Arabidopsis thaliana: one gene and its partner. The protein of the gene in region 2 interacts with the protein of the main gene of each other region in a pairwise test. Each region holds a gene or a part of one and is shown on either strand. Other genes may lie near its edges. The genes, in order: AT4G04760 and ABCB23.

Region 1 (6,459 bases), about 12 Mb from region 2:
ATACGAGTTTTAAATTTTGTTTTACCAATAGGAGTGTACGTCTTCCAGATACATCAACAAGCACAGTACCTAAAATGCCTCCAAACATCTACAAAAATGATTGGTCAAAAAGTGTATAGAATATTATACGGAAAGAGTTTTGTCTAACCATGCTCTATGGTATTGTATTAGTATAACTATAACCTGAACAACTGATGTAGATATGAATCCAAAGTCACTCGATACACCTGGATCATCGGATAGTATTTAAGGACCATTTGATGAAGTAATCATATCATTATGTTAGATCAAATAAAGAGAAACAAGAAGAAGAAGGATTATATACCGGTAGAGATGAAAATGGAGTCAGTGTAAAAAGAATAACCGTTAAGACCTCCAAGCTGAGGCAAAGCTATAAGAACAACTCCAATCTGTATATAAACCAAATGAAATATATAAATCAAGCAAATGCAAACAAAATAATGCTAGATTTTGAAGTTTTTTTAACCTTTTTGAATAGTTACTTACAGTAAGTGAGAATGCATATTTTCGCTGAAATAGCTTGAAGAAACCGCGGTCATCGATGTCTTGTTGTTGTTTAACATGTTCTGTATATTCCTGATAATCATCAAATTGTTTAGAAATTTATGTTATAAAAAAAATCAAAAAGGATGAACGACCTGTCTCCCCTAATAAGTTTTATATAACACCATAACTATACAGAATTCGGATCGCAATCCTAGTCCACAAAAAATAGAAGTTAAAGTCCAGTTTCACCCTCAATTGGAGGTTCGAATCTTTGGTCCCCATAAATTCAAATTTCATGGTTTATATTTGGTTTATTATACTGGACTCGATGCCAAACCGAAACCCAGTAGATTAGAAGGTCCTTACTAATATCTCTGCTGCTTCATCTGATACATCAGATTTTTCTCCTCGCAGGCTTAACAAAACTGCTTCAACTTCCATTTCTCTTCCTACTTTAGCCTACCAACAAATTTCATCTTGGTTTATTTGATTTACGATTTTAAGATATTCGACCAAAAGTTTTTTGTTATAACCAAATGCTTACTAGCCATCTAGGAGATTCGGGGATGAAGAAAAGAAGAGGCAGAACCATTAGAGAAGGTATACATCCTGTTCAAAGAAAAACCATTAGTACATTTTCTTGTACTTCGAGAAATGAGAAGTTTTCGATTTTTGCAAATCGATAAGAATCGGTCTTTTTTAACATACCCAAAATGGCTAAATTGCGCCAGGCAACGATGGTTCCAAGTGCATAAAAGACCGATATACCAACACCGGCGAATAACTGTAAAACATTCAAAACTTGTAGTGAAGGAAAATGCTTATAATAGTTTCCAAGCTTTTGGTTCTCTTGAGTTTTACCTGCGCGAAGGAAGAAGCAGCTCCTCGCAAGTTTCTTGGTGCTATCTCGGTGATGTAAACTGGTCCCTGTAATTAATAATTATCAGATCATAAGATTTGTTACAAAAGAGAACTAAATATATCTGAACATAAAACTTACAAGTTACAAGATATCAAATAAGTTTCAATGCTACATAACTACATTACCAACTAGCTACCTCTAAATCAAAAAGTCACACCATAAATAAGAAAAAATACCAAACCCTTCTAGTTTTAGTATTCACTCATACCAAATATACGCTAATTCCGATCGAGATCCCTTGTAGTAACCTTCCGAGATCAAGCAGCCAAACACCCTTTGTAACCAAAAAGTCAAAGAACAAAAATAGTAATAAGATACAGTTGAGGAACTATAATAATATATCGACTTAAAAACAGTACAATCTAAACCATTATAGAAAGAACTCAGAAAGAAACAAACCTTGGCAAATGCAATAGCGAACCATCCGATTACAAAGAGGATGTTTGTGATCCATATAGTCTTAGTTAGAAAGAGAATAATCACATAAAGATGATTAATAACCATAATTGTATAATCATATCCAATTCGTTATAAGAAAGTTTTAAACACTAATCATTCTTAAGTAGAAGAAACTTACTTTGACACGACCAACTAAATCTGTTAACTTCCCACAGATTAATGCTCCAAGGATTAACCCCACCGTCAATATCGATCCAAATAGTGAATACTGAGCAAAGAAAAGAAAACCAAGATCATATCGAACCAGAAATAAACCGGAATAAACCGTAAGAGCAACAAAAAAATAAAAAAGTGATTGAACTTGCATCAGCTATGGAGAGATTCAAGTCTTTCATGATACTTGTTTGTGTCGGAGCCGAATATCCAATCTGTGAACATAAAGAATCAAATAGTAACATTTTAATTAGGTTTAATAAAAAATTAAACATGCAAGAACGCATTAGGAAACTCACAATGCATCCAAAGGCAAAGGCGCCGCAAGAACCGACAATGAAAGCAAGAACAAAAGGTCTCGTGCATGCATTTGATATTTCAGACAAAAGTGAAGAAGAAGAAGAAGTAGAAGAAGCTGGTAATAATAAACCTTCTTCTGCCATTTTTCAGAAATCTGTGATTATGAATCAAATTTGCTTCAGGAAAATGCTCAAACCTTTTCGAGTTTGGAAGATTGTTGGTCTCGTGGAGCAAAAACTGCAAAAATAGCGGAACTGAAAACTAAACACAAATTGTGTTTGCTTTTGTTTCTTTCTCGTGGACATATAATATTAGTTCTAAGAAAACATATAAAAAATTAACATAGGTAATTAAATTATAACTATAATTATATTTTATTTTAATTGTTTTTATTAAAAACCATATTTTATCTATTGTTTTGGATTCACTTAGATCGTGCAAGTTTGTTACCAACTTCTGAAAATCGAATCATCTATATTTTTATTTGTTGGTCTGGATTTTCACTCATTTAAAACATGTGAAATCTTAAAGAATTAAACTTGAGTTCACCCATTTATTCAGCTCCTTTTGTATTAACCAATAAAAACATGCAATGTTAAATCTTATTTAAATTACATAATAAATTAAACCTATAATTATAAATCCAAGCTAATATATAATTTCGTTTAATTACAAAATCTAAACCCTAATTCTCCTTTGTAAACCTAAATCGCCATTTAAAAACTTATTTAATCGTAAAAAACTAAATCCTAATCGTATTTTCTAAACCCAAACTGACATTTAACCTCGTTTAATTATAAAATCTAAATCTGTTTATAAATTTAAACTAATATTTAACCCGTTTAATCATCAAATCTAAACTCTAATCGCACTTTCCAAACTCAAACCGATATTTAACCTCGTTTAATCATAAAATTTAAACCTTGACTTTTTCTAATAAATCCAAACCGATACATAATTTCATTTTAGTGGCAACTTAGATTTTATAATTAAATAAAATTCTTTTTATTATTATTAGGTTTCAGATTTTAATTGGCTAAAATAAAGGAGGTGAATATAAGGTTCTCAAATATTTTTCAATCTTAAATGCAAGTAAATGCGCTTACGTAAAAGCTGTAGACATGTGTAAACAAGCATTTCACGTCATAAGATCTCATTTTCCATCAATTCTATTTGTTTTTTTTTTATAATTAGAGTATCTCCAACTCATCTCTATTTTTATTTTTATATTTTAATTTTGTTTTTATTTCACTGTAATTCATATTTATTTTTATCTCAAAAATAGATATCTCTACTTTTTCTAAAAAAAATTTTGTAACAAATAGAGATCTCTATTTTTCAAAAACTATTAGTGTAAAAATAATTTTTTTTTAACTTTTTTCTCTATATTTAAATGAAAAAATAGAGACAATCATTAGAGATGCTATTAAGATTTTGTAATTTTATGGTTATCAGGTTGTATATTGTTGTTGCGTCGAAAACATATAAACATGATATATATCATAATATATGCCTTAACCAAGCTTTTCAGTTGAACTGTAGATCCCTTTCAGGGACCAATTTAATAAATATTTATAGGCCAATGACCCAATCGTAAAAATACGATGGAAAAAAGAAAGACAAACCCCATGAAATATAAAGAGATCTGAAATTAAAGTTTGAAGGTAATTTTATTTTATCTCTTAGAAAATTGTAGAATCTTCAGAAGTAGAATCAGTAAAAGCAGATTGAATTTCTTCTAAAGATTTGCCTTTGGTCTCTGGAACAAGCTTGGCTGTGAACACAAATCCAAGACCCATCACAGTGGCAAACATCATAAACGTTCCTGCAATAATGTTATGGAATAAATCATTTGTTTTTTATAGTTTTTTTTCTCAAATATTTCTTTATGATAGTTAAAACCTTTTTGTATATAATAAAAATATATTCTTTATGTTTCTTAAAGTTTGATTTTGTAGAAAAGACACACATATTAAGAAAATATATTAAATGTTGAATATAAATATATTATTTTTTGTGTTTTACAGTTTTCTATAACTTTAAACCAATGATAATTAATTAATTTTTTTTAAATTACAATTCATCAATACTAATCAATAAATATTGTATGAAAAACTTAAAATATCAATCTTTTAAAAATATTTTTTTTTCTAAAAAATTAATCAGTTTGGAACAGAGGGAGTATTAAAGATTAATTACCTGTAGAACTCCATTGAAGCAAAAAATTGAAGGAGTAAGTAACGAGCCATGAGCTTATAGAGGTGACCAAGTTACACACTGTTCCTGCTGCTCCTTTCACGTCTACAGGGTAAATCTAATAAAAATAATAGTAACGTTATAATGATTTAACATTTAGTTAGTGGGTTAGTTTTTTAAAATTGATTAATCAACCTCTGATGCTATGATCCATGGTATTGGTCCCATGCCTAATCCGTATGATCCAAAATACACCTAATATGATAAAATACACAAAACACCATGTTACAGTTTTGGCATTGTTTAAATAATGGTCTTTTGAATATATCTATTTATTGTGATGATAGATTATTAATTACCATAACACTAATGAGAGCCATTATTGGTGTTCCTGTTTCCCAGCAATTGTTCTTCTGTAGAGTAAGAAACCCAAAAAAGATTACATTCCGGTTTTTCAAAATTGAAACCAAACCACCGGTTTAGTAGACTAGTAAACATGCCTGCAAGAAGAATGAAATGGCTGTTGCTAGACAACCCAAGAACATTCCAGCTTGAGAAAACTACAATCACTCAAAAAATCTTCTCTTTAATCTTCTTCAAAACAAATAATTTCAAATAACTTATCGATTCGATTATTTATACACTTTCGGTTTTTCGAGTTTTAAATTTCGTTTACCAGTAGGAGAGAACGTCTTCCGGATATATCCACAAGCAAAACACCTAAAACGCCTCCAGTCATCTACAAGAATGATGATAGATTGTTATAGGAAAAATAAACTTATGAATAATAGTCATGCTTTATGATCTTATATTAGTAAAACCTGAACAATAGATGTCAATATGAATCCAATGTCACTTGATACACCTGATCATTCAATCAGATAATGATTGACCGTTTGATGAAGAAATATCAAAGAAGAAGAATGGGGTTATTATTTACCGGTAGAGGTGAAAATGGTATCGGTGTAAAAAGTATAACCATTAAGACCTCCAAGCTGAGGCATAGATATAAGGACAACTCCAATCTGTGTAAAACAAAAGGGTTGAATAATTAAGAAAATGCAAAGATAATAATGTTTTCAATTTTATGTTGTTACCTCTTTTTGAAAAGTTACTTACAGTTAGTGGCAACGCGTATTTTCGCTGGAACAACTTGAAGAAACCGCGGCTATCGATGTCTTGTTGTTCGACATGTTTTGTATATTCCTGATGATCATCAAAAATTTGGGAAATCAATGTAAATATATATGTTGATCATATGACTATTATAATGCATGTATATTTATATATCCTTACTAATATCGTTGCTGCTTCATCTGATACATCAGATTTTGCTCCTCGCAAGCTTAATAAAACCCCTTCAACCTCCTTTTCCCTCCCAACTTTAGCCTACAAACAAAATTCATCAATGATCAAATCATTGATAAGCTAGCCTTTGGTAACTTTAATCGTATTTTATGGGTTGGAGATGAACGGAAGAGACTTAGGCTAAACAAACAGGATCTGGTTGTTTTTAATCGTGTACATTTGGAACCAAGAGTTTAGATGACCATCATAGTTCAGTAAGGTTCTAGTCTTATCAGCTTTGATTGTTATATTTTCCAAAAGACAATTGGTATAAACACTAAAATTTTGTTTTCTTATAAGGTAAAACACTTAGATGACCAACGAGCTGTTGGCCCAGTGGTAAATTTTCCAAGTAGAGGTGTTAGGTTCGAGGTACGTTGGGAGGGATCTCTTCTCCAAAGGAGATGAATTTAACTTGGTGTGGATTCTGCCTCTAGGATATGTAGGGTCTTTGTGTTTGAACTTCTAGAATCCAGATATTAAAAAAAAAAGAACATTGAGATGATCCCTCATTTAGAAAAGAAGACCAAGAAGGTAATACATGTTTTCTTAGAAGGTAAGACCAAGAATTTAAA
Region 2 (6,459 bases):
GCACTACAAAGCTCCCGAAAGACAGACCTTCGATGAGAGATGTGATATCGATGCTCGGAGAGGCTAAACCGAGGAGGAAAAGTAATAGTAATGAAGAGAACACTAGTCGTAGCTTGGCCGAGAAACATTCATCGGTTTTTAGTACTTCACCTGTAAATGGCCTTCTTTAGTATGAGATTTAAGAATCAAAAGAGGCCGATAAACTGATTCGTTCGATTCGTGTTCTGTATGTAGAAGAAAGAGAGAAAGAGAGAGAGATATGTATCTTTTGATTTAATTTTTCCATGTAGAATAAGTTTCCTTTGTTTTACATGATCATATTAACTTTGTGCATTGCTCTGAACCGTTTTGTTTTTGTGCAAGAAAGGGTTTTCTTATAGATTTTTAAAGTGTGATTTACAAAGAGAACATATAACTAACTAAAAGAAAAATGGCAGAGCCAAAAAAGAAACTGTAAAGGGGAGAGAAGAAGAAGAAGCTTCTTACAATGTTTTTGTCTTCTCTTTGATCTGTGATCTGTCTTATTACTGCTTCAAACATAAAGGGTTCTTCGTAGATTATTATTTGCTTCATAATATCATCTGAGCTGTAAACAAGGATCACACAAACACGGTCACAACGACAAAACAATGATTTTAATACAGATATCAGGATTTGATCGAATCAGTAAATGTACCTTTACCAGTAGCCTCCGATGTTTTCATTATCCGGAGCCTTCTCACTGAACCAATAAACATCCTAGACACAAGTAAAACTCAGGTTCAAACTTCAGAATTTGACGCTTACACGGGACAAAGCATCAAAAGCATAAGAACATATGTATGCATACCCCCACGGAACATCGCCAACAAGCATCCAATCTCCTTCCTTGTCTTCATACGTTAGTACTAATCCGGAAGACCCATCTGGTAGTATCTTGACCGGTGTTTCCATGTGACCATCGGTTTCTAGTGTGCGTGAACCTGATTAAAGAAAGAATCATAACTTCATTTCCCATACCAAGAACCAACTTCAAAGGAACCAAAAAAAAGGCCATGAGATTCGAAAAGCACACCTAATTTAGGTTTCAGAAACATTTCCTCTAGAGTGTTTGACAATGATTCATAGCATTTATGAGCATTCAGATCGATTTTCCTTCCAATAGGAATGCCATCCATAGTCACCTTAACAAACATGGAATTTCTCATCTTTGTTGAATCACTTCTATTCTTGTTTACGGCTTGACTTATCTCCAAGTTCGGATCTTCAGTGGCTGAAGCCTTAGCTTGGTTAACCATACTGTTCATTCTGTAAGTCCTTATTGGTGGCCATCCCACAACTTGCCTGCCATTTTCAAAGGTTTCAAATTGCTCAAATAAGAGTAAACACATAAAAAGGGTTATAAACACTTCAGGGCCTTGTAAAATCAGATACCAAGAGAATCACTATACAGGATTAATCACTTTCTCTCCAAAGCTAATAAATACTTTAGAATCCAAGAAGAAAAAAACTGTCATCTCTAGAAAACGATAGTAAGATTCAATTTGAAGATATAATGACCAAAGCAAACTATCTAATGATCAGGAAGATACATTCAAAGTCATCTATACGTAACAAAGGTCGAATCTTTTCAGATAACTGTGATCAAGGACATTCTGTCTAATCAATCCCATAACCATAAAAAGCAAAAATCAAATCTTTATTTATAGTTCTATTGATAATCATGATATTAAGAATCCCCAAATAAACCATAATTGATCAAAATGTAAAAGAGGAAAGGGAAGAGAATTTCACTCACCCACTAGTTGCAGCCATGGAATCAGCTGTCCTCTTGATCCCAGCAATTACGCTAGCTCTGCTCAGAGAAGAAGATGATGAAGAAGAAGAAGAATCATCAGCGTAAACCCTACAATCTCGATACCCTTTGCGACCAAGGCTCAACGTAAGACCAAGCTCAAGCTCATTCCCTATAGGAGAAGAAGAATCCTCACAAGAAACGACGAGATTTTCATCGTTTGACAAAGCCGAAGCCGATCCACTAGCGGAACCGCCTTCCATTTTCGACAAAACCAGAAGCTGAGAATTAAGATTTTGATTGTGAGGGAAGGGAGGAAAAAGAGATGGGTTGAATTTGAAGCAAAGATTGAGACTTTAAGTAAGGCAGAAACAGTGAGAAAGAAAAAGGGAAACAAAGGATGAACAAGAAGACACGACGGGTGGGATTTGTCTCTTTTTCACTTCCCTAACTTTTAGTCTTATTTCTCGCCCAATTTTATCATTTTTTTGATCCAATAATAAATTTCTCACATTATTCCGTGACTATATTTACTAGAAACTCTTTTTTTTTCCTTCTTTTAACAATATCCACTTATGTAAGTTTTTAAAATAAAATATGTGGACTTTTGGTATAATTATTTCAATTTTTCGTAAGTTTATATAGGGAAGTTTTACAATTATGCGAAATTCCGTTGTAATATATTTATAAACTTATAATCAATTAACGATAGGATTAGATGCCAAAAAATATAATGGACAACATGATTTTTCAAAATGTATATTATTGTATTAATGTTCAGATTTTTGTAGTTGGTATTTGACTCCAAAATCTGATATAAGATCGGATAGATTTCAAAGAAAATTTGATATCAAAACGGTAGTATCCGTGGTATTAATAAAAACATTTTTAAAAGGCTGGAAAATAAAATAAAAACAAAATTCATACAAATATATATTTTCAAGAAGTGGGGGCTCACATGTCAGCTTCATGGGATTCAATCGGACGGCTAGAAAAAGATTACTTAGAAGGCTTAGTGGGACCCACGTGTACAGAGAGGGGGGACTCGTGCCCACACGTCCTTTGGTCCATCCATCTTTCCAAATCGGACGGTGCTGATTAGTTCCGGTTTAAAGCTATTGATAGTTAGATACCATCACTATATAGGTTTAATTAGTATTTTAAAATCAAGTGGCAATCTAATCTTTAATCACGTAATTAAAATTGAATTTTTAAGGCAATAAAGGAGTTTAGCTGTCCATTTTTAGTGGTGTCCGAATAAAAACCCTGTCGTCTGGAGGGAAGACATAACCGACCGTTGCTTCTTTTCACTTTCCAAATAAACCGTTCAATTTTTTAATTAATTGCATATAGTAGAAGAGTTGAATTTTCGAAAGAGTCCATGTGAGAGAATGAATACTCTGAGATTCGCTGCGGTGTGTACCACCGTATCTGATTCTCTCAAGCCCAGTTGCAATCAAACCAGTACCGGTTATCTCCGAGATAGCTAATTTCATTATCTTAATAAAAACAGAAAACCAAAACCGGTTATTTCCGAGTTGATATCTTCTTCCTCGTCTTCTTGTTAAGCTACTCTGTAGTACAGAGAGAACAAAACAGAGAATTAAAGAATCGATTTAGACCAAATTGTATGTGATTCGTTCGGACAAGAAGCGATGATGAGGGGATCTCGGTTTCTCCTCTCTCGCGCTTCTCTGTATCACCGTCTTCGCTCTGATCATCACCATCACAGTTTCTCCAGTTTTATCAAACGTAGCTCAATTCAGAGATCACCAGCTATCAATGCATTCTTCACCGATCCATCTCCATCTCCATCTCCAGTCAACGCACGAGTCTTCTTCTTCTCAACTTCAACTTCAACTCCAAATCAAGATCAAACCAAAACAGCATCATCTAAGAAGATCCTCCGCACGATTTCAAGCTATCTATGGATGAAAGACAACCCAGAACTCCGATTCAGAGTCATCGCTGCTTTAGCGTGTCTCATAGGAGCTAAGTTCTTGAATGTTCAAGTTCCTTTCCTCTTCAAATTATCTATCGATTTACTCTCTTCATATTCATCTTCAACAATCACTGATTCAAATCCTTATCTACTTGCTGCTTTCGCTACTCCTTCTTCCGTTCTCATTGGCTATGGCATTGCTCGATCTGGATCTTCAGCTTTTAACGAGCTTCGTACTGCTGTTTTCTCCAAAGTATCTCTCCGCACAATACGATCTGTTTCTCGTAAAGTGCTCTCGCATTTACATGATCTTGATCTTCGTTACCATTTGAATCGAGAAACAGGAGCTTTGAATAGAATCATTGACCGTGGAAGTCGCGCGATTAACACGATCCTCTCTGCTATGGTTTTCAATGTTGTTCCAACGATCTTGGAGATATCAATGGTCACAGGTATATTAGCATACAATTTTGGACCTGTTTTTGCTTTGATCACTTCTCTTTCCGTTGGATCATACATAGCTTTCACATTGGTTGTGACACAGTATAGAACTAAGTTTAGAAAAGCTATGAACCAAGCTGATAATGATGCAAGCACAAGAGCTATTGATTCTCTTGTAAACTACGAGACTGTTAAGTATTTTAACAACGAAGATTACGAAGCGAGAAAGTACGATGATTTACTCGGAAGATATGAAGATGCTGCATTGCAAACTCAGAAGAGTCTTGCGTTTTTAGATTTTGGACAGAGTTTTATATTTAGTACAGCTTTGTCAACATCAATGGTGTTGTGTTCTCAAGGGATTATGAATGGAGAGATGACAGTTGGTGATTTGGTGATGGTGAATGGTCTTCTCTTTCAATTGTCTCTTCCTCTTTACTTTCTCGGTGGTGTTTACCGTGAAACCGTTCAGGGTCTTGTTGATATGAAATCATTGTTCCAGTTGCTAGAGGAGAGATCCGATATTGGAGATAAAGATACAGAGACAAAGCTACCTCCTCTTGTTCTGAGAGGTGGAAGCATCAGTTTTGAGAATGTACATTTTAGTTATCTGCCAGAGAGAAAGATTTTGGATGGGATTTCATTTGAGGTACCGGCAGGGAAAAGTGTAGCGATTGTTGGTAGTAGCGGAAGCGGCAAATCGACGATTCTTAGAATGATTTTCAGGTTCTTTGACACAGATTCTGGTAATGTTAGGATTGATGGTCAAGATATAAAGGAAGTGACACTAGAGAGTCTTCGAAGCTGCATTGGAGTTGTCCCTCAAGATACTGTAAGTTGCCATTTTGACTAGAATTGTTCTCTTACATTTTGTTGTTATTAGTCTAAACCGTGACAAATTAGGTAAAATGTTAGTTATCTACTTAGGGCTTATTGGAAAAATCTATTTAGGGTATTTTAAACTTTTTTGTTATTCAGTCACAATTTCTACATAAATCACATGCAGATGACATTTTACACTCCAAAAGTGATTCTGATTAAACCTGATGATCTTAATTTTCATTTTAATATCAAATCGATTTAATGGTTATAACTTGCATACTTAAAGATAAACTAGACTAATCATAGCCTCAATTGACTCCTGGAATTATGGCAGGTGCTCTTCAATGACACAATATTTCACAACATTCACTATGGAAACCTTTCAGCAACAGAAGAAGAGGTGTACGATGCAGCTAGGCGAGCAGTGATTCACGATACGATCATGAAATTTCCGGATAAATATTCGACCGCGGTGGGAGAAAGAGGGCTGATGCTGAGTGGTGGAGAAAAACAAAGAGTGGCACTTGCTCGTGCCTTTCTGAAATCACCAGCGATTCTCTTGTGTGACGAAGCAACGAATGCGCTTGATAGTAAAACCGAGGCAGAGATAATGAAAACGTTCAGGTCGCTAGCGAGTAACAGAACATGCATTTTCATTGCACATAGGCTGACCACTGCGATGCAATGTGATGAGATAATAGTAATGGAGAAAGGGAAAGTGGTGGAAAAAGGGACACACCAAGTGTTGTTGGAGAAATCTGGCAGATACGCTAAATTATGGACACAACAAAACAGTACACTGGAGGTGTGAATCTCAAGAGCTAGACAGCTAGTGTTTGGGTTCTGTTTTCGCCTCACTAATTCTTTTTTTTTGCTGACTTCCCTTATTTTTGGAATCATATATTTGCAAATATCATTGATGGTACTTTGTAGCCTTGTTACAAAAAATAAAACATATTTGTAACCTTGGGAAAATCATTTATAGTCGTAGAGGTACCAAACCGATTTTTTCAATTACCTTTTGACAAATCAAAAAGTTTCGTTATTCGGTTTTAAAGTAAGCTATTTGTATTACCTTTGGAATCATTGAATTGGATAAAAACCAATAGTCCTTGAAGTATCCGGTTCTCATGCCTAAAACACGTGGCAATCGAACCAGGACCGGTTATCTCCGAGATATCTAATTCATAATCTTATTGTAAACAAAGACTGGGGAGGTTATTAACAAGTTGAGATCTCCAAGCAAGAGGTAATTTTTTAATCTTATTCTTCTTCAGGTGCTATGGTACGAAACTGGATTCAGAAAGAGGTCGAGCAAAAAGTCAAACAGACGACTCTACAGAAATATAAGAAACGAACCAGACGAAACTGTATATGTTAGGACAAGAAGCAATGATGAGAGTTTCTCAACTCCAACTCTGTCGCACTTCTCTTTCGTACCGTCTTCGCTCTGGTTATCATCATCATCATCATCTTCACC

The links.
Region 1: the proteins of ABCB23 (region 2) and AT4G04760 interact in a protein complementation assay, tested with the Arabidopsis thaliana proteins (one large-scale study listed by BioGRID).

Annotation. Positions count from the first base shown.
Region 1 is NC_003075.7:2,420,189-2,426,647, reverse strand, and holds the start of AT4G04760 (Major facilitator superfamily protein), read right to left. Parts: upstream 2,485-6,459; coding exon 2,341-2,484; intron 2,257-2,340; coding exon 2,194-2,256; intron 2,097-2,193; coding exon 2,007-2,096; intron 1,889-2,006; coding exon 1,829-1,888; intron 1,704-1,828; coding exon 1,638-1,703; intron 1,435-1,637; coding exon 1,369-1,434; intron 1,292-1,368; coding exon 1,216-1,291; intron 1,117-1,215; coding exon 1,052-1,116; intron 967-1,051; coding exon 874-966; intron 598-873; coding exon 508-597; intron 411-507; coding exon 326-410; intron 228-325; coding exon 184-227; intron 89-183; coding exon 26-88; intron 1-25. Other genes in the region: AT4G04750 (Major facilitator superfamily protein), read right to left, coding at 4,024-4,166, 4,541-4,655, 4,733-4,792, 4,897-4,950, 5,038-5,097, 5,214-5,276, 5,359-5,402, 5,478-5,562 and 2 more. UniProt on the Arabidopsis thaliana protein: Sugar transporter.
Region 2 is NC_003075.7:14,137,866-14,144,324, reverse strand, and holds ABCB23 (ABC transporter of the mitochondrion 1), read left to right. Parts: upstream 1-3,270; 5' UTR 3,271-3,429; coding exon 3,430-4,989; intron 4,990-5,313; coding exon 5,314-5,790; 3' UTR 5,791-6,004; downstream 6,005-6,459. Other genes in the region: AT4G28650 (Leucine-rich repeat transmembrane protein kinase family protein), read left to right, coding at 1-170; IAA11 (indole-3-acetic acid inducible 11), read right to left, coding at 397-581, 677-738, 830-962, 1,055-1,323, 1,778-2,037; ABCB24 (ABC transporter of the mitochondrion 2), read left to right, coding at 6,372-6,459. UniProt on the Arabidopsis thaliana protein: Performs an essential function in the generation of cytoplasmic iron-sulfur proteins by mediating export of Fe/S cluster precursors synthesized by NFS1 and other mitochondrial proteins.